6 linked regions of the Callithrix jacchus genome follow. The protein of the gene in region 1 binds, or shares a complex with, the protein of each later gene. Links are inferred from orthologs where the notes say so. Each region holds a gene or a part of one and is shown in the gene's direction. Other genes may lie near its edges. The genes, in order: TGFB3, LRRC32, TGFBR2, TGFBR1, ITGB6 and ITGB8.

Region 1 (4,011 bases):
GGATTACAGATGTGAATCACTGCACCTGGCCCAGCACTTTTTACCCTACTGCATCATTTACATATTTAGTTTATTGCCTCCTCCACTGCCCCACCCCTGCCCCTAAAATATAAGTTCCATGAGGGCAAGAGTTTTGTTTGTTTTGTTCACCAATATTGTTCACAGAGTGTAGAACGGTGCCTGGCACATAGTAAACATTAACCTTTTTCTCAAATTCCAGAGGCAGTATAGCATAGTAATTAAGTCCACAGACTCTGGCAACGTCCTGGGTCCAAATCCCAACAGCTACCACCTAATAGCTATGTGACCTTGGGCATGTTATTTTTAAAGTTTCTACCCTTAGGTTTCCTCATCAGTTATGGAAATGAAAATAATGCCTACCCAAACTAGATAGCCTGTGTAAAATATCACCTCCATCATTCACAAACAGCACTGTGGTCTTTAATATATATATATATATATATATATATATATATATATATATATGCCTCAGTTTCCTCATCCGTATATGAGCCACCGCTGTGCTGGGATACAGTAAACAGCCCTTCAATTAGTGGCCTAGAAACCAGACCTCTCAGAAAGGGTCCAGGGAGGCTGGAGTGAGTTGGGGTGGGAGCGGCACTCACTTTCAGGAAAGTTCAGTTCAGATGCAAGCCCCTTGTTGCCCGGTGCGGGGGGGCCACGTGCCCTGCCCTCCCCGTGCTGCTCGTGGGAAAAGGCCTGGAGGTTCGGCCCGAGATGAGCGAAAGCGGAGAGCCAACTTCCCCTCACCCATCTGGGAAATGGGCTCGGGCCAACTGCTGACTTCGCGCTCGCTGGCGCAGCTCCCCTCGGAGCCCTCGGCGAGGAGGGAGGCTGAACATCTGGATGACATTTCTGCGAGAGCGGCTCTGGAGCCGCGGTTGGGGAGGGAGAGGTGCGCTCTTGCGCACGTGGGGCCGGGAGGGAGGCGATTCCCCGGAGCCCGGGTCTTGTTTTTCTCGCTCTCTCCCGCAGCCTCTTCTCCCGCCCCTCTACTGCCCCCAGCCCCCCCAGCCCTCCAACCTCCCAGCCCCCCCTTGCCCGCGCCTCCCCGGCTCCCGACCCGCTGAGCTCCTTCACTAGCGGCCTCGCCTCGCCAGAGGGCACCCTCGATCTTCCGGAAAACGCCACCATTTTTCACTGCCCCCGAAGCGTCTCCCGGCTTCTGCCCGCCTCTCGACTCCGAGCTTGTCAATGAAGAATCGGGCCAGGATCGCGGCGGAGCGGACACCGACCCTCCAATCCGGCTCGCAGCCGGGAGTCCCCTCCTCGAGGCTGGCACGGCCGACCTTGCCGGGCCCCGAGCCCTCCGCGGACCCTGTCCCGGGTTGGGCCTGGCCCGGGGGCGGCCCTGGGACCCGTGGACCGGGAGGGAGAGAGACGCGGGCCGCGGACGGCGCGGACTGACAGCCGGCGAGAGGGCGCAGGGGCTGGGGGAAAGGGAGGGAGGGGGCTCATCGGAGTAACTTTCCAGAAAAACAGCCAGCGTGTAGCAGGAGTGATTCCAAGAGGGGAAAAAAAGTTCAGCTACCACGTCGAACGAGTAGGACTCGCAAAGTATTTTTCAAATGGGCTCGGCTTTTCCTGTGCCTGTTTAAAACATTAACATCGTGCAGCAAAAGAGGCTGCGTGCGCTGGTCCCTCCCTCCCCCACCCCAGGCCAGAGACGTCATGGGAGGGAGGTATAAAATTTCAGCAGAGAGAAATAGAGAAAGCAGTGTGTGTGCATGTGTGTGAGAGAGAGAGGGAGAGGAGCGAGAGGGAGAGGGAGAAAGGGAGGGAAGCAGAGAGTCAAGTCCAAGGGAATGAGCGAGAGAGGCAGAGACAGGGGAAGAAGCGTGCGAAAGAAGGAATAACAGCTTTCCGGAGCAGGCGTGCCGTGAACTGGCTTCTATTTTATTTTTCTTCTCCTTTTCATTTTTTAAAGAGAAGCAGGGGACAGAAGCAATGGCCGAGGCAGAAGACAAGCCGAGGTGCTGGTGACCCTGGGCGTCCGAGTGGATGATTGGGGCTGCTGCGCTCGGAGGCCTCCCCCTGCCTTCCAATGCACATAACCCCACACCCCAGCCAATGAAGACGAGAGGCAGCGTGAACAAAGTCATTTAGAAAGCCCCCGAGGAAGTGTAAACAAAAGAGAAAGCATGAATGGAGTGCCTGAGAGACAAGTGTGTCCTGTACTGCCCCCACCTTTAACTGGGCCAGCAACTGCCCGGCCCGGCCTCTCCCCACCTACTCACTGGTGATCTGACTTTTTTTTTTTTTTAAACTTTTTCCCCTTTTCTTTTCCATTCTCTTTTCTTATTTTCCTTTAGGGCAAGGCAAGGATTTTGATTTTGGGATCCAGCCATGGTCCTTCTGCTCCTTCTTTAAAATACCCACTTTCTCCCCATCGCCAAGCGGTGTTTGGCAATATCAGATATCCGCTCTATTTATTTTTACCTAAGGAAAAACTCCAGCTCCCTTCCCACTCTCAGCTGCCTTGCCACCCCTCCCAGCCCTCCGCTTGCCCTCCACCTGGCCTGCTGGGAGTCAGAGCCCAGCAAAACCTGTTTAGACACATGGACAAGAATCCCAGAGCTACAAGGCACACAGTCCGCTTCTTCTTCCTCAGGGTTGCCAGCGCTTCCTGGAAGTCCTGAAGCTCTCGCAGTGCAGTGAGTTCATGCACCTTCTTGCCAAGCCTCAGTCTTTGGGATCTGGGGAGGCCGCCTGGTTTTCCTCCCTCCTTCTGCACGTCTGCTGGGGTCTCCTCCTCTCCAGGCCTCACCATCCCCCTGGCCTCTCTTCCCGGCTCACGCATGAAGATGCACTTGCAAAGGGCTCTGGTGGTCCTGGCCCTGCTGAACTTTGCCACGGTCAGCCTCTCTCTGTCCACTTGCACCACCTTGGACTTCGGCCACATCAAGAAGAAGAGGGTGGAAGCCATTAGGGGACAGATCTTGAGCAAGCTCAGGCTCACCAGCCCCCCTGAGCCATCGGTGATGACCCACGTCCCCTATCAGGTCCTGGCCCTTTACAACAGCACCCGGGAGCTGCTGGAGGAGATGCACGGGGAGAAGGAGGAAGGCTGCACCCAGGAAAATACCGAGTCGGAATACTATGCCAAAGAAATCCACAAATTCGACATGATCCAGGGGATGACGGAACACAGTAAGTCCAAATTCTCGCTGGGGTGTCTGCTCTGCAGGGTCTGAACTGGAGCAGGGAGCTCTGCAGAGGGGGGCCCAGTGCTGGCCACACAGCAGGGTGCCCCAGGATTGACCAGCACCGAGGCTCAGGAGGTGCGATGCTCCTCTTTTGGGGCTGGGGAGGTGGGTGGGAAGGGAGATAGAGCCATTCTGCTAAGAGCCTACGCTTCTGGGAGGTCAGGAACCCTGAAGCTGAACAGCTTGCTGAACTCACATCACATCCTTGACTGATTTTAATTTGGAATTACATTGTGCTGTCCAGGGAAACATATGTATTCTTGCACATGTGATCATATCAGTAACTGTAAGCATCTGGGTGCCATAAAGGGGAAGGCCGGCCCTGTCAGGAGCCCTTACAGTTCTGAGTGTGGAGACCTCAGTCTTCTCCCTGCTTTTCACAGCTCACTGTGACACGTCTCCGGTTCAATTTTTCCAGTCCTTGGGAAGAAGAGTACCTGCCCTCAATTAATGTCTGTCAAGCTTTTTGAAGCCCAGGCAAGAGACAGCTTCTTGCTAACTGGGCCCTTTGGTCTACCCCACCCACGTGACCCACGAGCCCCACGTGAGCTGTGTGTGTGTGTGTGTGTGTGTGTGTGTGTGTGTGTGTGGAGGGGAGAGGGTGCACACGAATGTTCCCAGGGCCGGGTACTTTGGGGCAACATGTAGTCTTATGCAGTAGACAGATTCCTCTGCTCAAAATGGGCGCCCTCCAGGCCAGTGGGCACGGGGAGAGTGGGTTGTGGCTCTGGATGCGTAGAGGAGGCTGGCGCCCTTTGTGTCTGCGTGTCATGGGAGAGTGGGT
Region 2 (3,500 bases), on another chromosome or scaffold:
GAGCCTTCCAGGCCCTGCCCCACCTGCAGCACCTCAGCCTGGCCCACAACCGGCTGGCAGTGGGCACTGTACTGAGTACTGGCGGCCTGGGCCCCCTGCCACACGTGACCTCCCTGGACCTGTCTGGGAACAGCCTGTACAGCGGCCTGCTGGAGCAGCTGCTGGAGGAGGCACCCCGCCTGCATACCCTCTCGCTGGCGGAGAACAGTCTGACTCGCCTCACCCACCACACCTTCCGGGGCATGCCTGCGCTAGAGCGGCTTGACCTACATAGCAACGTGCTGATGGACATCGAGGACGGCGCCTTCGAAGCCCTTCCCCGCTTGACCCATCTCAACCTCTCCAGGAATTCCCTCACCTGCATCTCTGACTTCAGCCTCCTGCAGCTGCAGGTGCTGGACCTGAGCTGCAATAGCATCGAGACCTTTCAGACGGCCCCCATGCCCCAAGCCGAGTTCCAGCTCACCTGGCTCGACCTGCGGGAGAACAAACTGCTCCATTTTCCTGACCTGGCCGCGTTCCCAAGACTCATCTACCTGAACATGTCCAATAACCTCATCCGGCTCCCCACAGGGCCACCCCAGCACAGCAAGGCCATCCACGCACCTTCTGAGGGCTGGTCAGCCCTGCCCCTCTCAAACCCCAGGGGAAATGCCAGTGCCCACCCCCTTTCCCAGCTCTTGAATCTGGATTTGAGCTACAATGAGATTGAGCTCATCCCTGACAGCTTTCTTGAGCACCTGACCTCCCTGTGCTTCCTGAACCTCAGCCGAAACTGTTTGCGGGCTTTTGAGGCCCGGCGCTCGGGCTCCCTGTCCTGCCTAATGCTCCTGGACTTAAGCCACAATGCCCTGGAGGCACTGGAACTGGGCACCAGAGCCCTGGGGTCCCTGCGGACGCTGCTCCTACAGGGCAATGCCCTGCGGGACCTGCCCCTATACACCTTTGCCAACCTGGCCAGCCTGCAGCATCTCAACCTGCAGGGGAACCGGGTCAGCCCCTGTGGGGGTCCAGATGAGCCTGGCCCCTCCAGCTGTGTGGCCTTCTCCGGCATCTCCTCGCTCCGCAGCCTGAGCCTGGTGGATAATGAGATAGAGATGCTCAGAGCAGGGGCCTTCCTCCACACCCCACTGACTGAGCTGGACCTCTCTTCCAACCCTGGGCTAGTGGTGGCCAGGGGGGCCTTGGCAGGTCTGGAGGCCTCCTTGGAGGTCCTGGCACTGCAGGGTAATGGGCTGGCGGTCCTGCAGGTGGACCTGCCCTACTTCAGCTGCCTCAAGCGGCTCAATCTTGCTGAGAACTGCCTGAGCCACCTTCCCGCCTGGACACAGGCCGTGTCACTGGAGGTGCTGGACCTGCGGAACAACAGCTTCAGCCTCCTGCCAGGCAGTGCCATGGGTGGCCTGGAGACCAGCCTCCGACGCCTCTACCTGCAGGGGAATCCACTCAGCTGCTGCGGCAATGGCTGGCTGGCAGCCCAGCTGCACCAGGGCCGAGTGGATGTGGACGCCACCCAGGACCTGATCTGCCGCTTCAGCTCTCAGGAGGAGGTGTCTCTGAGCCACGTGCGTCCCGAGGACTGTGAGAAGGGGGGGCTCAAGAACATCAACCTCATTATCATCCTCACCTTCATACTGGTCTCTGCCATCCTCCTCACCACGCTCGCCACCTGTTGCTGCCTCCGCCGGCAGAAGTTTAACCAACAATGTAAAGCCTAAAGAAGCCGGGAGATGCTCTAGGTCAGTGCAGGAGCCTGAGGTACAGAGAAGAGTGAGGCCTGACTCAAGGTCACACAGTGACCCAGGGTCCCAGAACACTGGTCCCCAAATCGCAGCCCAGTACTCCTTTCTCTGCCGCCTGCTGCATCAGCGGGTGACTCCCTTCCTGGGCTGCACTTTGGGTCCAGCTGTGGAAGCCAGAGGTTGGGCGGTTTCAGGGACAGCAGAGAATAATGTTGACCCATCAGATCAACAAATCTTCAATGAACATCTATTTTGTGCTACACCCTGCTCTGGGCACTGGGAACGCTGGGAAATGAGATACATTCCTGCCCTCGAGAATCTCCCAGTTTGGTAGGAGGGGTTGCTGCAGAGCCACACCGTGACCACACAGTGTGCTCAGGGCCTGAGGAGTGAAAGCCCAGGGGTCTGGAGCTCGGCAGGCCCTGCTGGTTCAGGGCGGAGAGTCCGGCCCCAGCAATGCCAGGGCCAGAAAGGGCCAAGCCCAGGAGGATTTGTCTTAGACATTTCCAAGCAGACTGTTTGTCACATTTAATAATGACTTTCAGCCTCTCTGAAAATGAAGCGCTTATGACAGAAAGAGAGAACTGGGAGCCGTCCGAGTGTGTCTTGGATGTGGTGCTGTTAGGTGGGCTGTGGCAGCTCCAGCAGGGTCTGGTTAAGGGGTCTAGCCCAGCACTGGGCCATTCCGTCTCCTGCTCTGGACAGGTCCTCTCTCTACCTGGCACTCTCATGTTGCACACCCTGACCCTAGTACTGCTCTAAGCCCCTCCCTGCCCAGCCTCCCTTCTCCGTCCCAGCCCCATCTTGGCTGCTGTGCCAGGAGCTAGAACCTTAGATGTCTGGTTCTGTTTTGCACCCAGCTTGACAGATGTGGATGTGAATCCGAGCCTTGCTCCTATATGACAGCCCTTAGAGGTTGATATTTTATCCCTATTTTATAAAAGAGGAAACTGAAGTTCTGCAAATCTTCCTCCATGGCCCCAGCTAACTAATGCCATAGGTGAGATTCAAACCCTCATCCTTCTGTCTCCAGGGCCTGGATCTTTACCACTGCAAGGGCTGCAGGCCATTAAGAGAACAGGAAGTGGTCCCACATAGCCCAAGCAGGGTCTGGAAGCATCCTGTGCCATGCACATCTGCTCTCTCCTCTCTCCTAGGCAGGCAGCCACGGGCCCTCTCCTCCTTCTTAGTTTCCCTCCTCCCCTCCTTTGCACCCTGGTATGGGGCCTGTTCTCTCCTTGCTCTTGCATTCTCTCACTCCCTTTTCCTCTATTGAGCAGAGCCTGGAGTTTGAGACTATTGAATCCAGCCCCCGCCCATTGCAAAGATGGGGAAACTGAGGTTCAGGAAGAGAATGAAACTTACAGAAAGCTGTACAAGTCAGTGTCAGAGCATGTGGGGGAAAAAAAAGAGTCAGACCTTATTTGGTGGGGTGAGATGGGGGTTGGACCAGAGTGGTGTCGTCTCTTGCCTGTCACATCACAAGATAATGCTGGCTCCAAACTTCCTTTCTGTACGTCATCATGCAAGGATTTTTTTCCCCCCTAAAAATTCAGGTAGAAAGGCTCACCCGGATAACCCCTGTCCCTCACACCATGGAGTCGTGAACTGTCTGGGAAGAATGGAAGCCCTGGGACCAACTCAAGACCCTGTGTTACTGTCTTCGTCAGCTTACCTGTGCTTGGCCCACAGTCTGGCTCATGATGTGGCCTCAGTAATGTGTGATAAAATGAAACCACCACGTCTCCATCCCATTTT
Region 3 (4,247 bases), on another chromosome or scaffold:
AAGAGGCAATAGGGAGAAGATCTGGAACTCAATCTTCCTCCATTGCCAAAGTCACACCAGCCTTGGTAAGGCAACTAATTGGTGGGAAAGAAGATGCCTAGCCCTCCTGATTTCACTGCGCTTTCTGCATCTTCAGCATGAGAGCTGGGAAGTGTCAAAACAAGCAGAGGCAGCTTGGCTGTTAGGTGGAGCAAGAGTTAAAATTCCAGGGTGAAGCAAATGAACTCTTAGAATCACAGGGAAGATTTGGGAGTTGGCTTTGGGGGAGGGCTATTTACCTTTATTCCCTGGAGACGGCGGCACAAACCCTGGCCTCTGCCATCTTCCTCGTAGGTAAAGGAATTCATTGAGTCGCTGGAATATCTGACCAGAGGGCTGTACAGAATCATATCTTTGAGAGCTGGAAGTATGTTCATCACATAGTTTATTATCCAGTCAGGACATATCAGAAAGAGAAAGGGGGTTCTATTAATATTTAAGCTATAAAACAAGTACACCAGGAACATCTTGGGCAAATCTGGTTGCCCTAGCAAGAAAGGAAATTGGAAAGTTACTCCTTTTGCACATGAGAGGCTAAGTATTCTCTTTCTTGACCTGTATTAAGGGAATAAAAGCACAAGCATTCAGCTGACTCCCAAGCCACTTTTAATTTTACAGTTTCTGCTATACTCTATACATTCTGAAAATTACATTTCCAACCATTATCGCTTCGTGATAGGTGATCATTCAGTTACTCACTCAGCCTCAGGAAGAGGCGGTGCAAAGTGGGAGGCTCTATCAAGGTGCTCACTAGAAAAGCAGAATCTCAGCCTGCCTCCTAGACCTACTGAATTAGAATCTGCATTTTCTTTTAACGATATTCCCGGTGATCAAGATAGACATTAAAATTTGAGAAAAACCTCTAGACTTTGACCTACAGTAAGAAAAAATTTTACAACTTGACAGTGTATGCACATACATACATGGCTAGAGACACAACTGAAGCAAAAGTTTAGTGAAGTCATACTTACCGTTACTATTTTATTCGGGAAAGAAATGTGCTCCCGACTCACTAGATTTGAGTATTGACTGCTGAATCTCAACGTGTCATTTGAAAGCGCATCTCTCAAGCACCTAGGGGCAGGGCAGGCTGCAGACAGCTGAGGGGAGGCGACCGATGTTCTGATGGACCAGGGGAAACGTGGACGTTTTCTGATGTTACTTTGTGAACTACGTGCACTTAGTCACTCCTGAGTAAATCCCTGGAGCAAGGAACTCCTGAGTGGGGCGGGAGGGCGGTGAGGGGCAGCGGAAAGTCGGCCAAAGCGCTCGCAGGGGCTGGGCTAGGAAGCATGATTGGCAGCTACGAGAGCGCGGGGGCCGGGCGCGGAGGAGCGCAGAAGGCTGTCGGCGGAGCGAGGTCCTGCCCAGCTGTTGGCGAGGAGTTTCCTGTTTCCCCCGCAGCGCCGAGTTGAAGTTGAGTGAGTCACTCGCGCGCACGGAGCGACGACACCCCCGCGCGTGCACCCGCTCGGGACGGGAGCCGGCCTCCTGCGCTGCTTTCCTCGGCCGCCGGGGGCCTCCCCGCGCCTCACCGGCCTCCAGCCCCTCCTGGCTGGCGAGCGGCCGCCACATCTGGCCCGCACCTCTGCGCGGCCGGCCCGGCGCGGGGTCCAGGGAGGGCGCGGCGTCCACGGAGGGCGCGGTGCGGAGGCGCTGCCAGGGGTCCGGGAAGGCGCCGTCCGCTGCGCTTGGGGCTCGGTCTATGACGAGCGGCGGGGTCTGCCATGGGTCGGGGGCTGCTCAGGGGCCTGTGGCCGCTGCACATCGTCCTGTGGACGCGCATCGCCAGCACGATCCCACCGCAAGTTCCGAAGTCGGGTGAGTGGCCCCCAGCCCGGGCTCGGCGGGGCGCCGGGGGTCTTCCTGGGCTCCCCGCCCCTCCGCTGCGCTTGACAGTCGGGCCCGGCCACCCGGCGCCCGGGCGGAAACCAGGAAAGTTTCCCCCGCGGCACCCGCGCAGCCCGACTCCCGTAGCCGCGGGGATGTATGAGTTTTTCTCGAAAAAGAGAAGGAAAGTTCAGCTGCCAGGGGCTCGGGGCACGTTCGGTTCCCTTTGTGCGAGCAGGAAAGGCGTTGTGCGGGCCGCGTTCGAGGCGAGCCCCCACCCCCGGAAAGGGAAGTTTGAGAAGTTGGTTATCTGAAGGCGGCCGGGAGCCGCGGCGCGGGGCGGCAGCCTGAGCTGCCAAAGCAGCCAGCACACCTGGGCCCCTCCGCCCGCGGCGATGCGGCGCGCCCACCCAGCTCTTTCCCAGCCACCCCTTCCAAAGGCCAGCTCCTCAGTCCTGAGCGCCAGGACACGGCCACGCATGCCCTCAGGGCCGCTTCTTGGCCCGGAGTTATTGGATACAAGTTTCAAGAAAATAAGCGATTTCCAAAGGAAAGTTAGCTGGCTCCACTGACGCCTTGGCATCACGGATGGGTAGGGAGTGGAGACGCTCAGGGAAAACCGGGAATCCTTCAGTAAATGCCTACTAGGTGCTAGGGGCTGGAGATTTTGCCTGGAACAAGACAGTCCTGTCTTCAGGGAGTTGGTGTTTCTCTGCAATGATCGTTGGTTGGAAACCGAAGGGTTAAAAATCCCAACTAGGCTACCCACCTGACCGCTGTCTCTGAAGGTTTTGAAGAAAACACACACACACACACACACACACACACACACACACTATATATATATCTATATATCTATATATATGCATATGCATGCAGGAAAGGGGGTTCTTAACTATTTGTTATGGAAAGTGTAAAACTCCTGAGACTTCAAAAGTTAGACGTTTTTTTTTTTTTTTTGTTTTTGTTTTTTTAAGACTAAGTCGCCAGGCTGGAGGGCAGTGGCACGATCTCGGTTCACTGCAACTTCTGCATCACAGGTTCAACCGATTCTCCTCCCTCAGCCTCCTGAGTAGCTGGGATTACAGGCGCCCACCACCATGCCCAGCTAATGTGTGTATTTTTAGTAGAGACGGGGTTTCACCATGTTGGCCAGGATGGTCTCGATCTCTTGACCCCGTGATCCAACCGCCTCAGCGTCCCAAGGTGCTGGGATTGCAGGCGTGAGCCACCGCGCCCGGCCAAAAGTTAGACTTTTTGCAGCTATGAGCCAAATAACAGTATCTGCAGCTTGTCTGCCAGATATTTATCTGCGTATTTAGGCAAGTCATAGAACTTTTTCTAGGCGGTAGTTTCCTCATCTGGAAAATGGCAATGTTGAATCTGAGTAATTTTACATCATCTTCATGTTTAACATATTATGTGTCGTGCCCCTCCCCTCCTTTTCCCCCTGGCACTTCTGGTGACTTGGAGATGAGCCATGTAGACTTTGGGTGAAAGGAAGAGGAGCTGACAGTCCACATCACCCCGAGGTGTTCATTTTATGTACCCAGGGGCAGATTCACCTTTAGGTTTGTCTAGGGAAAAATGCACATCACAGTCTGCTGTAAATTTCAGAGTACATGAAATAGATGGAGAAGTTTTAAAAAATTATTGCTTACATTAAAGGTGACATGGAGATGGAAGTTTTTAATCAAATTATGAAGAAGCACTATTGCAAGTAAAAAGTCTTAACGCAAATTTGAGTCGTATGGTTTTAATAAAATCTGAGTGTTTTGTTCTTGGCATTTTTCCTACATTGCAGTACCAGAATGTTCAACTGTCTTTCATTTTCCTCTAGACTCTTAAAACCTGAATTATATTTTGCTAATAAATATTTAAAATGGCACCCTTAATTTTCTGTGAATGTTAAAAATCATTAAAACGTTTGTTCCAGTGTATAAAAGAAGGAAATTAGTAGGCCCTGATGTTGTTAGTTAGATTCTGTTTACAAGGATAAGATTTATGATTTGCAAATTCCAGACCCAATAGTCATGAGTCAGTTTCATTTCATCTATATACACACTTTTAAACAATTAGCTTAAAAGTGTGGTGGCTTTTTATTTGGGTTTTTACACAGTTTTGCAAGGCCAACAGATTTCATACTTTTATAGAATTGAAGTTGCAAAATGGTTGAATTAATGAATCATTTTTAATTTGTATTAATTTGATTCGAAGTAAACTTTCAAAGTTGGCTGAAGGTTGAAGACAGATCTATTGAAGACAGGAAACCTAATTCTACTTACATTTTAATTTTTCATGTAAGGAAATAGTTTCAGATTTTTTCTAACAATTGGTAAACTGAAAACGTTTTTCAAAATATCTTAATGCAAGATAAG
Region 4 (3,500 bases), on another chromosome or scaffold:
TTGTTATTGTCCCCATTTTCTTTAAAGAAATGTAATTTCAATAACTTTTGGTGTAATGATTCACTTGAGTTTATTTAGTAATGGCTCAGGTATTGTTGGTCATGTGGGCTGAAATGATTTCATACATTTGGGTTAGGAGAAGAGACTTTAAAGGTATTTGAGCTGTGATTGGTATTACCTTTTAAGCAGTCATGTTTAATTTTTGATTCTTTAGGAAAGCCAGCCATTGCTCATAGGGACTTGAAATCGAAGAATATCTTGGTAAAGAAGAATGGAACTTGCTGTATTGCAGACTTAGGACTGGCAGTAAGACATGATTCAGCCACAGATACAATTGATATTGCTCCAAACCACAGAGTGGGAACAAAAAGGTATACTTTCAAACAAATATATTTAATATCTTCTGAAATCACCTTTTTTCCCTTTTCTTTTATATGTACATATTATCACTGAACTCAGCTTAAGCTTGTACTTTATTAGATTGCCAACAGGCAAGAAGATCTCATGGTCTTGCCTGCTCTGAAGCCAAAGTTACCTGACTTAAAAAGTTGCCTGCAGATGGAAGGTTGCCCTTCCAGAAAATATTATTAGTCATGTTAATTATAGTAACAGTAGTAACTCACGTTTATAGGGCACCTATTTTGTGCCAATCATCTAGCTAATAGGTCTTTTACATATATTATCTCATTTAACAACCCTCTCAAATACTGTACTATAGCTAGCCCTGCTTTTTTAATATTTCAGTCCCTGAAAATATGTCTTTCTTGCTTTCTTAGAACTTTTGCACATGCTGTCACCTGGAGCATACATTACCCTACTGTTTCTCAGCCACATACCCACCTTTCCCATAGGAAGTTTTTTCTGGTCCTCAAGACTGTTAGGAGTCCCTCCAAGGGCTGTCATAGCACACTGAACTGGGACCATTGAGGCACTTATGCATTACATTGTAACTGTTTATTTATTTGCCTGTATATTCTATTAGGTGCAAGCTGCTTGAGAGCAGACTTGTATTCTCAGCATCCTTCACAGTGCCTAATACATGGTAGATCCTCAGTAGATATTTGTTGAGCCGGTGAGTCTTCAAAAGAACTTAATTAGGTAGGTGTTGTTACCCTTAATTCACAGATGAGGAAACCACCTTTTGGAGGTTAAATAATTTGGCCAGCTTCATGTGGATGATAAGCCAGAGAGCTGAGATTTGAACCTGGGCATTTCTGACACAAAGCCCTTTTCACATGTTGTCACAGCATTTCTTCAAACCTACTGCCTTGGCCTTGGAGAGAGCCGGAGAGCTGGCAGCATTAGTCTATTCAAATTGCATGTATGATTTTGAGATTTCTGGATTCACTGGGGGTTCTCAACTCTCAGCCAGCTAAGTGGGTCCCTGGCAGTGGTTGCTGCAGGTCTCTGTGGGTCCTGACCCATAATTTTAGTAGGTTTTCAACGCTTCAGAACCCTCCAGTGTAGCATCAGTAGGAGAACTGGCATTCTTTTGTATCTGTTATCTTTTTCCCTGGTGTATATTCCTGCCCTTCCTTTCATCCTCAGTGAGATGACTTCTAGATTCACATGCATGGTTTCTGCCTAGTACATGTATAGGTGGTGTACATTAGGACATCTTAAATGGTTACAATGGTTATATGTGTGTCTTTCATTGGAAACCAAGATCATGACGCAGATAGTGTGAAACTGCTGTTTTAGCGTTTTGTGTGATTTAGTTGACATCATTAATGTGCAAACCAGTGTGTGTATTTAATATTTTTCTCGAGTCTAATATTTGCTGTGTAATATTGTGTGCAGATGTCTATGTTTAGAGAAATGTCTGAGTGGATATTCATCACAATGTGGCAATAAGGGCATGACTTTCAAAGTTCTTTTTGCAAATTTTCTTTTAGGTACATGGCCCCTGAAGTTCTCGATGATTCCATAAATATGAAACATTTTGAATCCTTCAAACGTGCCGACATCTATGCAATGGGCTTAGTATTCTGGGAAATTGCTCGACGATGTTCCATTGGTGGTAAATTGCTCCCCTTTCCCTCAACAGTTTGTTATGAACAGAATTTGTTCAAGAATTGTCTTCTTTTTTTGTTGAATGAAATTATGTACAGTTTATCATCTGAAACAGGAGGTCACCAAATGCCAGAGAAAACAAAGGCGATGAAACCTTTGGGAGGGGACAGTGCCATGGTGTACACATGCACAGCTCTAGCCTAGTGTATTCTCTTACTGTTTCCATTTGAATCTTGAGACTCATCAGAACCCAACCCCTTGTTATATTGGAATATAGTTCTTTAGAAAGGATAGCTGCTTGAGAGGCTCACCTAGGCAGCTGTTTCTAGCATGTACCTGGGTGACAAACTTATTTTTTTTCTTTGAGATTGTGGCTATTTTCTCCAACTTGATAGTTATAGATTACATACACAGAATACCATTGTGTTGTTTTCTAGAGTTTGTTTTAACTTCTAGCTTTTTAGATGGAGCACTTTTTAATGTTTACCCAGGAAAGTCTCTTAGGCTTGGGGACCTAGGCGTGGCTGAGACCTAGGCCTTAGGTTTTTGAGGCAGTGAGGGACAGAGTATTTCTCTGTATTGTAGTAAATAGGATATATTATTGACAGAAGCAAGTAGAGAAAGCAAGTAGAGAAACCTTAAACTTGCCTCATAGGATTCATGTCTCACTGAAGTGAAAGCCTGTTCACTCACAGAATAGAATCTCAGTTGCTGCACAGTAGGGCTCTAGGGGAAAATGTCAATCTGCTCATCACAGCTCATAGTTTACTGTCATTTCAAATAGACTTTATTGATCTTATGGCAATACTTAGTTTCAAGGTGTGGGCTCAGTATCAACTCAGGAAAGTGGTCTATGGATACAGATGTGGATGAGATAGAGAAAGCTATCATCTCAGTTCCACCTACCTACTTTAGTAATGACACAGTACAAGGGCTCTCAGGTGATCTTTTTAATGGTTTGGCATTAGCTGAATAAATTCTTCAAAATTTAATTTTCTTTTAAACTAATACAGGTATTCATGAAGATTACCAGCTGCCTTATTATGATCTTGTACCTTCTGACCCATCAGTTGAAGAAATGAGAAAAGTCGTTTGTGAACAGAAGTTAAGGCCAAATATCCCAAACAGATGGCAGAGCTGTGAAGTGAGTATTTCTTTCTGATATTAGGCAATTTTCTAAATTGATTCTGCTGAGTAAGTGAAAATTTGCTACTTTTCTTTAAGGAAAACAGACAAGAATTTTCTTTTTCAAAGCAGTCAAACCAATGTGTAAAAACAGAATAATTTGGTTTTCATATTCAATTGTAAGCACATTGAAAGGGCCATGGAACATTTGCAGTGGCCTTTACATATCAGAACATAGTTTAGATCTGCCAGGCAAGCGTAAGGCACATACTTTTTTTTTTTTTTTTTAGTGACGGAGTTTTGCTCTTGTTACCCAGGCTGGAGTACAATGGCGCGATCTCGGCTCACCGCAACCTCCACCT
Region 5 (3,500 bases), on another chromosome or scaffold:
TGTTGATGCTGTTTACTTTTTGGTATATTTTTAGAAAGGTTAATACTGGTTGTTCCTTTCTATGTATAATAAAAAACTTTCAATTGCTGGTATCTTATAAGAAATTCAGATTTGTTTTCTTTTTCTAGTTATTGATTTTCTTTTTTCTTTTTTAGAATTTTACCCACTCATCTGGAGTTGGCGAAAGGTGTGATACCCCAGCAAACCTATTAGCTAAAGGATGTCAATTAAACTTCATCGAAAACCCTGTCTCACAAGTAGAAATACTTAAAAATAAGCCTCTCAGTGTAGGCACACAGAAAAATAGTTCTGACATTGTTCAGATTGCACCTCAAAGCTTGATCCTGAAGTTGAGACCAGGTATGTTAGGATTTGGCTCATGTAAATAGATCTGATGTCATATATGGCAATTCTTCTACTCCACTAATGTGTCTTGTATTGTATTACATTGATTATTATGCCTCGAATTTCCCATTCTTAAGGAAATAGAAAATTGCTAGGCTCACACTTTTCTTTATTCACATTGGTCCCTGGCACTCCAAATGTGTTACTAAAGAAGCCTTCTCTAATAGTAACCATTTAAATTACTCAAATGTTGTTAAGGCTTACCTCACATCTCTTCAAGGGTTGTAATGTAGATTTAAACTCTCTTTTATTAGATGCCTCTTTTCTAAAACGAAGCACAAAAAATTCAGCTTATCTTCTATCTAAATGGATGCTAGTTCTCCCAAGGAGATATAAAATATCCTAACTTATCCTCCAGTAGTTCTAAACTCCCTGCTGAAAAATTTTTATGGGTTGGTTCATTTAGGACCTTGACTTTCAGTAAGTTCTTACTGAGGTGTAATAGCCAGCTGACCCAGCAACTGGCCAGTTGCAAATGAATCTCAGTGTGTTTTTCTGGGTTTGCTTTTCCCATTGGTCTTTGCAGGTGGTGCACAGACTCTGCAAGTGCATGTCCGCCAGACCGAGGACTATCCGGTGGATTTGTATTACCTCATGGACCTCTCCGCCTCCATGGATGATGACCTCCACACAATCAAGGAGCTGGGATCCCGGCTTTCCAAGGAGATGTCTAAATTAACCAGCAACTTTAGACTGGGCTTCGGATCATTTGTTGAAAAACCTGTATCCCCTTTTGTGAAAACAACACCAGAAGAAATTGCCAACCCTTGCAGGTAAGCAAATGATTCCCTTGGCATCTTCGTGCACTGATTTTTTGTGGAGATACCCCGGCTCTGAGCTGCACTTGCCAGGAGCTTGCTAACTCCCTGGCATTTCTGCTTCATCTGGTTGGATCTCAGCAGTTCTCTCCAGTGCCTAGGTTGCTTGGAGTGGAGGTGAGGTCATCTGAACTACATGGTTCTAGCCATGGCTTCTTGCAGCCTCTGCATCTGCCTTCCAGTGTAGGGCAGGTTGTAGCAAACCAGAATGTGTGTTATGCAGACAAGGGGACCAAGGCTTTCACCATAGGCTCCGCTGGATGGCACCTCGCCCAGTCTTTCACACACTTTCTAGTCTCAGTGGCCACCACTTTCTGAGGTTATTGGAGAATAACTTCACTTTCCCAGAATGTTTCTCCACAACAATGACTTCTGGCAAAATAATAATTTTTGCAACTTTCTCTGATGTACTTTGGGAAATATTTGTTTCTCCTATTGCTTGGAGAAGGCCTGGGCAGCCTTCATAGCTATTAAATTCAGTAGTAAATGATTTCATAGGCAATGACTCCATTCTAATATGTTATAATAAGCTATTAAAACCACATATTATTCAGGTGATGGTGGAGGACAAATTGCTTTGTGATGGCTTACCTGTTAAGTGAATGACATGTTCAGAAACAAACTATTTAATATTCTCCTATTGAAAAAGAGCTACTATATGCTCTGTGCCAGACCTTGTGCTGAAGGTTTTACACACATGACCTCATTCAGTCTTCATAACAGCAGGTTAAAGCTTAATAACACCAGCTCTATACTCAGAAGAAATAAGAGGCTCTGAGAGGTTAGCTATTTGCCCAAGGCCACATGACAAACCCATGATCTGTACCCATATTCGATTTGTCCCAAAAGCAAGCCCATTACTACTATACATCTAATATATATGAAATAATTTTCCAAATGTTTATTGACATAATACTTTTATACACCAAAAGCATCAATCTCTATAAAAGATAAATAGCTTTTATTATACCATTTAAAAAAATCTCAATGTAGCCCCCAACTACAATCTAACATAATCAAAAATAATTTAACCATAAAAGGAACTTTTCAATGATTGTAACACTTAAAAATTGTGTTTGGTTTTAAATATCTGTGATGGTGGCTTAAAAAGGGAGGTTTTTTGTTTGTTTGTTTGTTTGTTTGTTTGTTTGTTTGTTTTTGAGATGGAGTTTTACTCTGTCACCCAGGCTGGAGTGCAGTGGCATGATCTCAGCTCACTGCAATTTCTGCCTCCTGGGTTCAAGCAATTTTTCTGCATCAGCCTCCTGAGTAACTGAGATTACAGGCGCCTGCCACCACACCCGGCTAATTTTTTGTAGTCTTAGTAGTGACTGGGTTTCACTATGTTGGCCAGGCTGTTCTCAAACTCCTGACCTCAAGTGATCCACCTGCCTCAGCTTCCCAAAGTGCTGGGATTACAGGCATGAGCCACTATGCCCAGCCAATATTTTCTTCTGTTTTTTTATATAAGGACCAGAGGAAGGCCATTCAGGGATGTATGGCAGATTCAAAAACATGAGGAATCCAGGCCTTTTTCTGCTCTCTGTTTCACCATTATTGACACTTGGATTTTATCTTCATGGTCCAAGAATGGTGCTGGGGTACTAATCATCACTTCTTCATTTCAGTCAGGAGGAAAGGAGGAAAATAGGGGCAATAAGTACACTGTCTGCCTACTCCTCACAATTCCTTGTGACGTATAGTTGACATGCCTAAAATGCACAGATGGAAAATGTTTAGTTTGATGTGTTTTGATGGTTAAATATACCATTGCAATCAGTATCCAAAACATGATGCAGAATATTTTCATCACCTCAGAAATTTCCCATTACAGTCAGTTCTACCACTTCAAAGGCAACCGCTTTCCGAAGTCGATAATTTATATTGGTTTTACCTATTCCTGAATTTTATATAAATATGTAATGTAGTATATGCCCTCTGTGTTTGGCTTCTTTGGTTCAACATAATGTTTTCAAGATTTACCTATGACTTTGTATGTATCAGGAGTTTGCTTCTTTTCGTTTCAGTTAACAATCCATTGTATTTATTTACTATATTTTGTTTACTCATTCTTTCATTGGAGAACATTTGAGTTGTTTCTATTTTAGGGGGCTATTATGAAAAGGCTGCTGTGAGCACTTGCACTGAAGTCTTTGAATGGATGTATGCTTTTACTTCTCTTCACAATAGACACCTAAACTGGAATTGCTGAACTGTATAATTTTTAAAGAAACTACCAAATTGTTTTCCAAAGCGAATGTACATTTTGCATTTCCA
Region 6 (3,500 bases), on another chromosome or scaffold:
TATGGAAATACTCTCTTTCCTTTTCATTGGAATCTTCTCTACTGAGGCCCCAGCTGACCGCAGTATATGTGCTAAGGTCAGAATCTATAGAATCCAAAATCAAGCCACAGCAGCTCACACTCTCAAACCCTGACCATTTGGCAGTCCTCTCTCACAGGCTTCTTCTTTGCTGAGGCCAGTGAGACTGGAATTTGCTTGCTGGGCTATCAGCATCTGGTTTCAGCTGAGGGCCTTGTGTGTCTAGCATTTGGTTGGAGGGCCCTGAATAGCTTACCTCCAAGGACTGTGCCTTTGCTGATGCTATGCAGGCTCTGCTTGTTTGCTGAGGTGACCAACCCATACCTTTGCTGGGTCCCTGGCACAGTATGCTGACTATCTAGTACATCTAGCAATACCTCTGAAAACAGCCATTCATTTTTAGACAGAGCCACCATAAACTGCAATGATTCACCAACATAAAAATACTATGATACCGTGTGGCCAGTTTAGAAAAACAATTTTTTTTAATCTAAAAAGATGGCAGTACTTTCCACCAACAGCAGTTCTAGAGAGAGTTGACACTTTGGGTCTGAGTGAGAAACAAAAACAAAAAGTGCTGATCCGTACATGAAGGTTCAAGTCCCTGCATGAGAACCGCTCTCCCCAGTAGTGCTGAATTTCTGCTTCTCATGGATTTGGCCCAGTGTACTAGTGTCTAACATTCCCCTTAATTTAATTTCTCCACTCAAATTGCAGAACACTGCCACAGGGAATGGTTCTTTCTGTCAACAGAAGACCAGAAGCAGAGCCGAATGTAGGATATGGTCTCTGGAAGCAGTCTAGCTTCTGAAGGCAAGGGATGAGAGAATGGACTGGGCTGGACCATGCATGCCCAATTTCTCCTCTCAAATAGGGGCCAAAACCTAGGAGCATTACATTAAAAGGCCTGCCTGGACATAAAAGCAAATTCAGATTGAGTAGTTCCTTTCTCCCATAATTATTATTATATATCAGCAAAATCTTATTATTTGGAATACAGTAAGTAATTTGGCTGAAAAACATCTGATTTGTGAAATAATTGAAAAGAAAATATTGCTATTTTATACTAATACCAAACATATGATTTGATTAATTAGAAGATTCTTTAAATGAGTAACTTATGTATACAAATCAATGTTTATTTTAAAAATGTTTTTCATTCAGAATATTCTTAGGAAAAAATAATGACTTACAAAGCATTTGCTTATTTGTTTAAAAAAGTAAAATTCATAAATTGCAAATTGCCTATATTTAAGTAGTTGCCTTTTCACCGTGTACTTTAAATGAAAAGTAGAGATACCAACTCTATAGAGGGTTAGGGGGATAACCCAGGTCCTTTATCAAATAGTAATATAACGAAGAACTAAATAAAACTGTAGTTCCCGGCGGAGACTACTGACGTTTGTCCTTGTGGCAGCCCCTTCTTCTCATCCAGTTGTTTTGCCCAGGGTGGGTGCCTTGCCCATGGGACCCCTCTCCAGTGTGTGTTCATTGAACACCCACTGTGTGTTGGGCAAATGCTGACCCCTCCCTTCCCCAGGTCCTCCATATGGTACTGCAGGGTGTAGTTCTTTAGCCCACTGGCTCATTCCTTCTGTCAGCCAACTGATGAGAGGAATCCTATCAACTAACTAGTGATGAGATGGTAATTATTTTGAATAGCTTGTTGTACTCTGAAGTGCCAGAGTTTTCTCATCTCCTGTGTAAATACACTTTAACCCAAAAGAATGAATTTATGCCTTTATTCAATAAGAGATCTTTTTTTAAAAGATACATTCCCAGTTTTCCTCAACTCATTCTACAAGTACAGCCCCCTCACTGTTTTGGGATAGAATGCTGCTGGCTGGTTTGCACTATGTTTTTCTGACTACTAAGGCAAGGGAGGTTTATATAATGATACAATACCCTGTTACATTTATATGGAACTGGCCCATTTGTTATCATCCCTATTCAGCCTATAGAACTGTGGGGAATGTACTGTAGGATTTGGAGACTAATAAATTGGTATAGTTTTCAAATTGCCTTATAATTATACTAGAATAATAATTATGCTATACTTGTCACAATTATACTAGAATATTCTGAAATGTATGTACAAATTTGTGATGATTGTGTTAGGTGCTAGAATGTGACTAATTCATTGAGATCTTATCCTGAAATGTTTAAAATGAAGACTACATGATGCTTTTCTTCTGTTGAACTAGGAGCTGAAGCTAATTTTATGCTGAGAATTCATCCTCTGAAGAAATATCCTGTGGATCTTTATTATCTGGTTGATGTCTCGGCATCAATGCACAATAATATAGAAAAATTAAATTTTATTGGAAATGATTTATCTAGAAAAATGCAATTTTTCACCACTGACTTTCGTCTTGGATTTGGCTCGTACGTTGATAAAACAGTTTCACCATACATTAGCATCCATCCTGAAAGGATTCATAATCAATGCAGGTATCTAGGATTTGATGTGGATATACTCAATTAATTTTTTGCTCATAAAATTTCACTTTGTTTTTAATATAAAGAACATACCAAATTTTATAATTTTATATAAAATAATAATAAAAATATTTGGTGAGGTGGGGAGGTTTGTTCATATCTGGAAATATCTGAGATGACCTGTAGATTAGGCTTTTTGTTTTATATTTCTTCAAATATTTAGTCAGTTTTTATCATCAAAAAAAAATCCTACCTAATGTTAGTAACTTTGAATAAACCATCAATAATTAGTCTGCAATGTATATAAATACCTCTTTGGAAATTCTGTATTTTTATTTTTTGATTGCTCCAAAATTATTGAATTATGGTTTGATACACTTTAAAGAGTTTGTGCCCACGTTTCATCTGTCTCTCCGTCACTGTGTTGTGACTGTGGATAATGTCGCCTATAATGTGACTATAAAGCAAGCTCAGCTGTCACAAAGAAAGTGGGTCAAAAGATGAGAATTTGACTGCTTAGAAAGACCCTTTTTTTCTTACCATTTTAGAATTCTGATTCTAAATAACATACATCCCACTATGAAAGAAGAATTAACCTTAAAAATACAATCTCACACAATATTGCCATTAGCCTGTAGAATTTTCAGTAAAGGAAATCTGTATGGATCTTTTTTCATAAAAGACTTTATCTTTCTTGCTTCTACAAATTGCTTAGATTACCTTACAATATGTATTCCAATTTACCAAAACGACTCTGTCATCTCTTGTACCAGAACAAGATTGACACATCCACTAATGGAGTTTCATAAGCCTTCTTGAGGTGAATGTGCCAGAGGAATCATTCTTACTTTCTGGATATCATGGATTCTCAAAATAACTTTCATGAATTTTGATTGTTCATCAATAATTCTACCAAGTATCATTTTAAAAATTAGTACAGTATTAAAAACAAAACTGTAATATGATATTTCAACTAAATTTCCCAAAAACCTTTTCCAAAAGGGTTTCTCAGCTGTTCAATGATAAGAAATCACTGCACATTC

Evidence for each region.
Region 2: the proteins of TGFB3 (region 1) and LRRC32 are in contact, whole or in part, in a cryo-EM structure (PDB 8VSB), measured with the Homo sapiens proteins. The link is inferred for Callithrix jacchus from reciprocal best matches to the Homo sapiens genes TGFB3 and LRRC32. Residues at the interface, in NP_001316868.1 of Homo sapiens: Leu24, Ser25, Thr26, Cys27, Thr28, Leu30, Pro347, Pro349, Tyr350, Leu351, Arg352, Thr357, His358, Val361, Leu364, Leu368, Ser375; in NP_001122394.1 of Homo sapiens: Ala110, Ser135, Tyr137, Ser160, Val184, Met186, Asp187, Ile188, Asp190, Phe193, Leu202, Leu204, Arg206, Asn207, Ser208, Thr210, Cys211, Ile212, Ser213, Asp214, Phe215, Ser216, Leu217, Cys227, Asn228, Ser229, Lys254.
Region 3: the proteins of TGFB3 (region 1) and TGFBR2 are in contact, whole or in part, in a crystal structure (PDB 9B9F), measured with the Homo sapiens proteins. The link is inferred for Callithrix jacchus from reciprocal best matches to the Homo sapiens genes TGFB3 and TGFBR2. Residues at the interface, in NP_001316868.1 of Homo sapiens: Arg325, Lys331, Trp332, His334, Tyr390, Tyr391, Val392, Gly393, Arg394; in NP_003233.4 of Homo sapiens: Leu50, Phe53, Asp55, Ser72, Ile73, Thr74, Ser75, Ile76, Glu78, Val100, Asp141, Glu142.
Region 4: the proteins of TGFB3 (region 1) and TGFBR1 are in contact, whole or in part, in a crystal structure (PDB 9B9F), measured with the Homo sapiens proteins. The link is inferred for Callithrix jacchus from reciprocal best matches to the Homo sapiens genes TGFB3 and TGFBR1. Residues at the interface, in NP_001316868.1 of Homo sapiens: Ala301, Leu302, Asp303, Asn305, Tyr306, Tyr350, Leu351, Ser353, Thr357, Thr360, Leu364, Leu368; in NP_004603.1 of Homo sapiens: His39, Leu40, Thr42, Lys43, Phe55, Met70, Ile78, Phe84, Val85, Lys91.
Region 5: the proteins of TGFB3 (region 1) and ITGB6 are in contact, whole or in part, in a crystal structure (PDB 4UM9), measured with the Homo sapiens proteins. The link is inferred for Callithrix jacchus from reciprocal best matches to the Homo sapiens genes TGFB3 and ITGB6. Residues at the interface, in NP_001316868.1 of Homo sapiens: His259, Gly262, Asp263, Leu264, Arg266, Leu267, Lys268; in NP_000879.2 of Homo sapiens: Ser142, Ala143, Ser144, Asp147, Pro196, Cys197, Ser199, Ile200, Tyr202, Cys204, Ala234, Asn235, Ile236, Asp237, Thr238, Glu240, Asp271, Lys355.
Region 6: the proteins of TGFB3 (region 1) and ITGB8 are in contact, whole or in part, in a cryo-EM structure (PDB 8VS6), measured with the Homo sapiens proteins. The link is inferred for Callithrix jacchus from reciprocal best matches to the Homo sapiens genes TGFB3 and ITGB8. Residues at the interface, in NP_001316868.1 of Homo sapiens: Gly262, Asp263, Leu264, Arg266, Leu267, Lys268; in NP_002205.1 of Homo sapiens: Ser156, Ala157, Ser158, Asn161, Arg206, Gln210, Cys211, Tyr214, Leu216, Ser247, Gly248, Asn249, Ile250, Asp251, Thr252, Glu254.

The regions. Positions count from the first base shown.
Region 1 is NC_133509.1:110,899,406-110,903,416, reverse strand, and holds the start of TGFB3 (transforming growth factor beta-3 proprotein), read left to right. Parts: upstream 1-1,211; 5' UTR 1,212-1,564; exon of another isoform or gene 1,565-1,703; intron 1,704-1,734; exon of another isoform or gene 1,735-1,948; 5' UTR 1,949-2,186; exon of another isoform or gene 2,187-2,632; 5' UTR 2,633-2,819; coding exon 2,820-3,171; intron 3,172-3,610; exon of another isoform or gene 3,611-3,677; coding exon of another isoform or gene 3,678-3,771; intron 3,772-4,011. UniProt on the Homo sapiens protein: Transforming growth factor beta-3 proprotein: Precursor of the Latency-associated peptide (LAP) and Transforming growth factor beta-3 (TGF-beta-3) chains, which constitute the regulatory and active subunit of TGF-beta-3, respectively.
Region 2 is NC_133511.1:64,331,535-64,335,034, forward strand, and holds part of LRRC32 (transforming growth factor beta activator LRRC32), read left to right. Parts: coding exon 1-1,718; 3' UTR 1,719-1,739; exon of another isoform or gene 1,740-3,298; coding exon of another isoform or gene 3,299-3,349; 3' UTR 3,350-3,500.
Region 3 is NC_133518.1:68,835,799-68,840,045, forward strand, and holds the start of TGFBR2 (TGF-beta receptor type-2), read left to right. Parts: upstream 1-1,447; 5' UTR 1,448-1,766; coding exon 1,767-1,860; intron 1,861-4,247. UniProt on the Homo sapiens protein: Transmembrane serine/threonine kinase forming with the TGF-beta type I serine/threonine kinase receptor, TGFBR1, the non-promiscuous receptor for the TGF-beta cytokines TGFB1, TGFB2 and TGFB3.
Region 4 is NC_133502.1:147,265,348-147,268,847, forward strand, and holds part of TGFBR1 (TGF-beta receptor type-1), read left to right. Parts: intron 1-214; coding exon 215-371; intron 372-1,895; coding exon 1,896-2,020; intron 2,021-3,026; coding exon 3,027-3,157; intron 3,158-3,500. UniProt on the Homo sapiens protein: Transmembrane serine/threonine kinase forming with the TGF-beta type II serine/threonine kinase receptor, TGFBR2, the non-promiscuous receptor for the TGF-beta cytokines TGFB1, TGFB2 and TGFB3.
Region 5 is NC_133507.1:69,659,830-69,663,329, forward strand, and holds part of ITGB6 (integrin beta-6), read left to right. Parts: intron 1-155; coding exon 156-360; intron 361-931; coding exon 932-1,178; intron 1,179-3,500. UniProt on the Homo sapiens protein: Integrin alpha-V:beta-6 (ITGAV:ITGB6) is a receptor for fibronectin and cytotactin. It recognizes the sequence R-G-D in its ligands. Internalization of integrin alpha-V/beta-6 via clathrin-mediated endocytosis promotes carcinoma cell invasion.
Region 6 is NC_133512.1:37,881,921-37,885,420, reverse strand, and holds part of ITGB8 (integrin beta-8), read left to right. Parts: intron 1-508; exon of another isoform or gene 509-576; intron 577-2,222; coding exon 2,223-2,469; intron 2,470-3,500. UniProt on the Homo sapiens protein: Integrin alpha-V:beta-8 (ITGAV:ITGB8) is a receptor for fibronectin. It recognizes the sequence R-G-D in its ligands.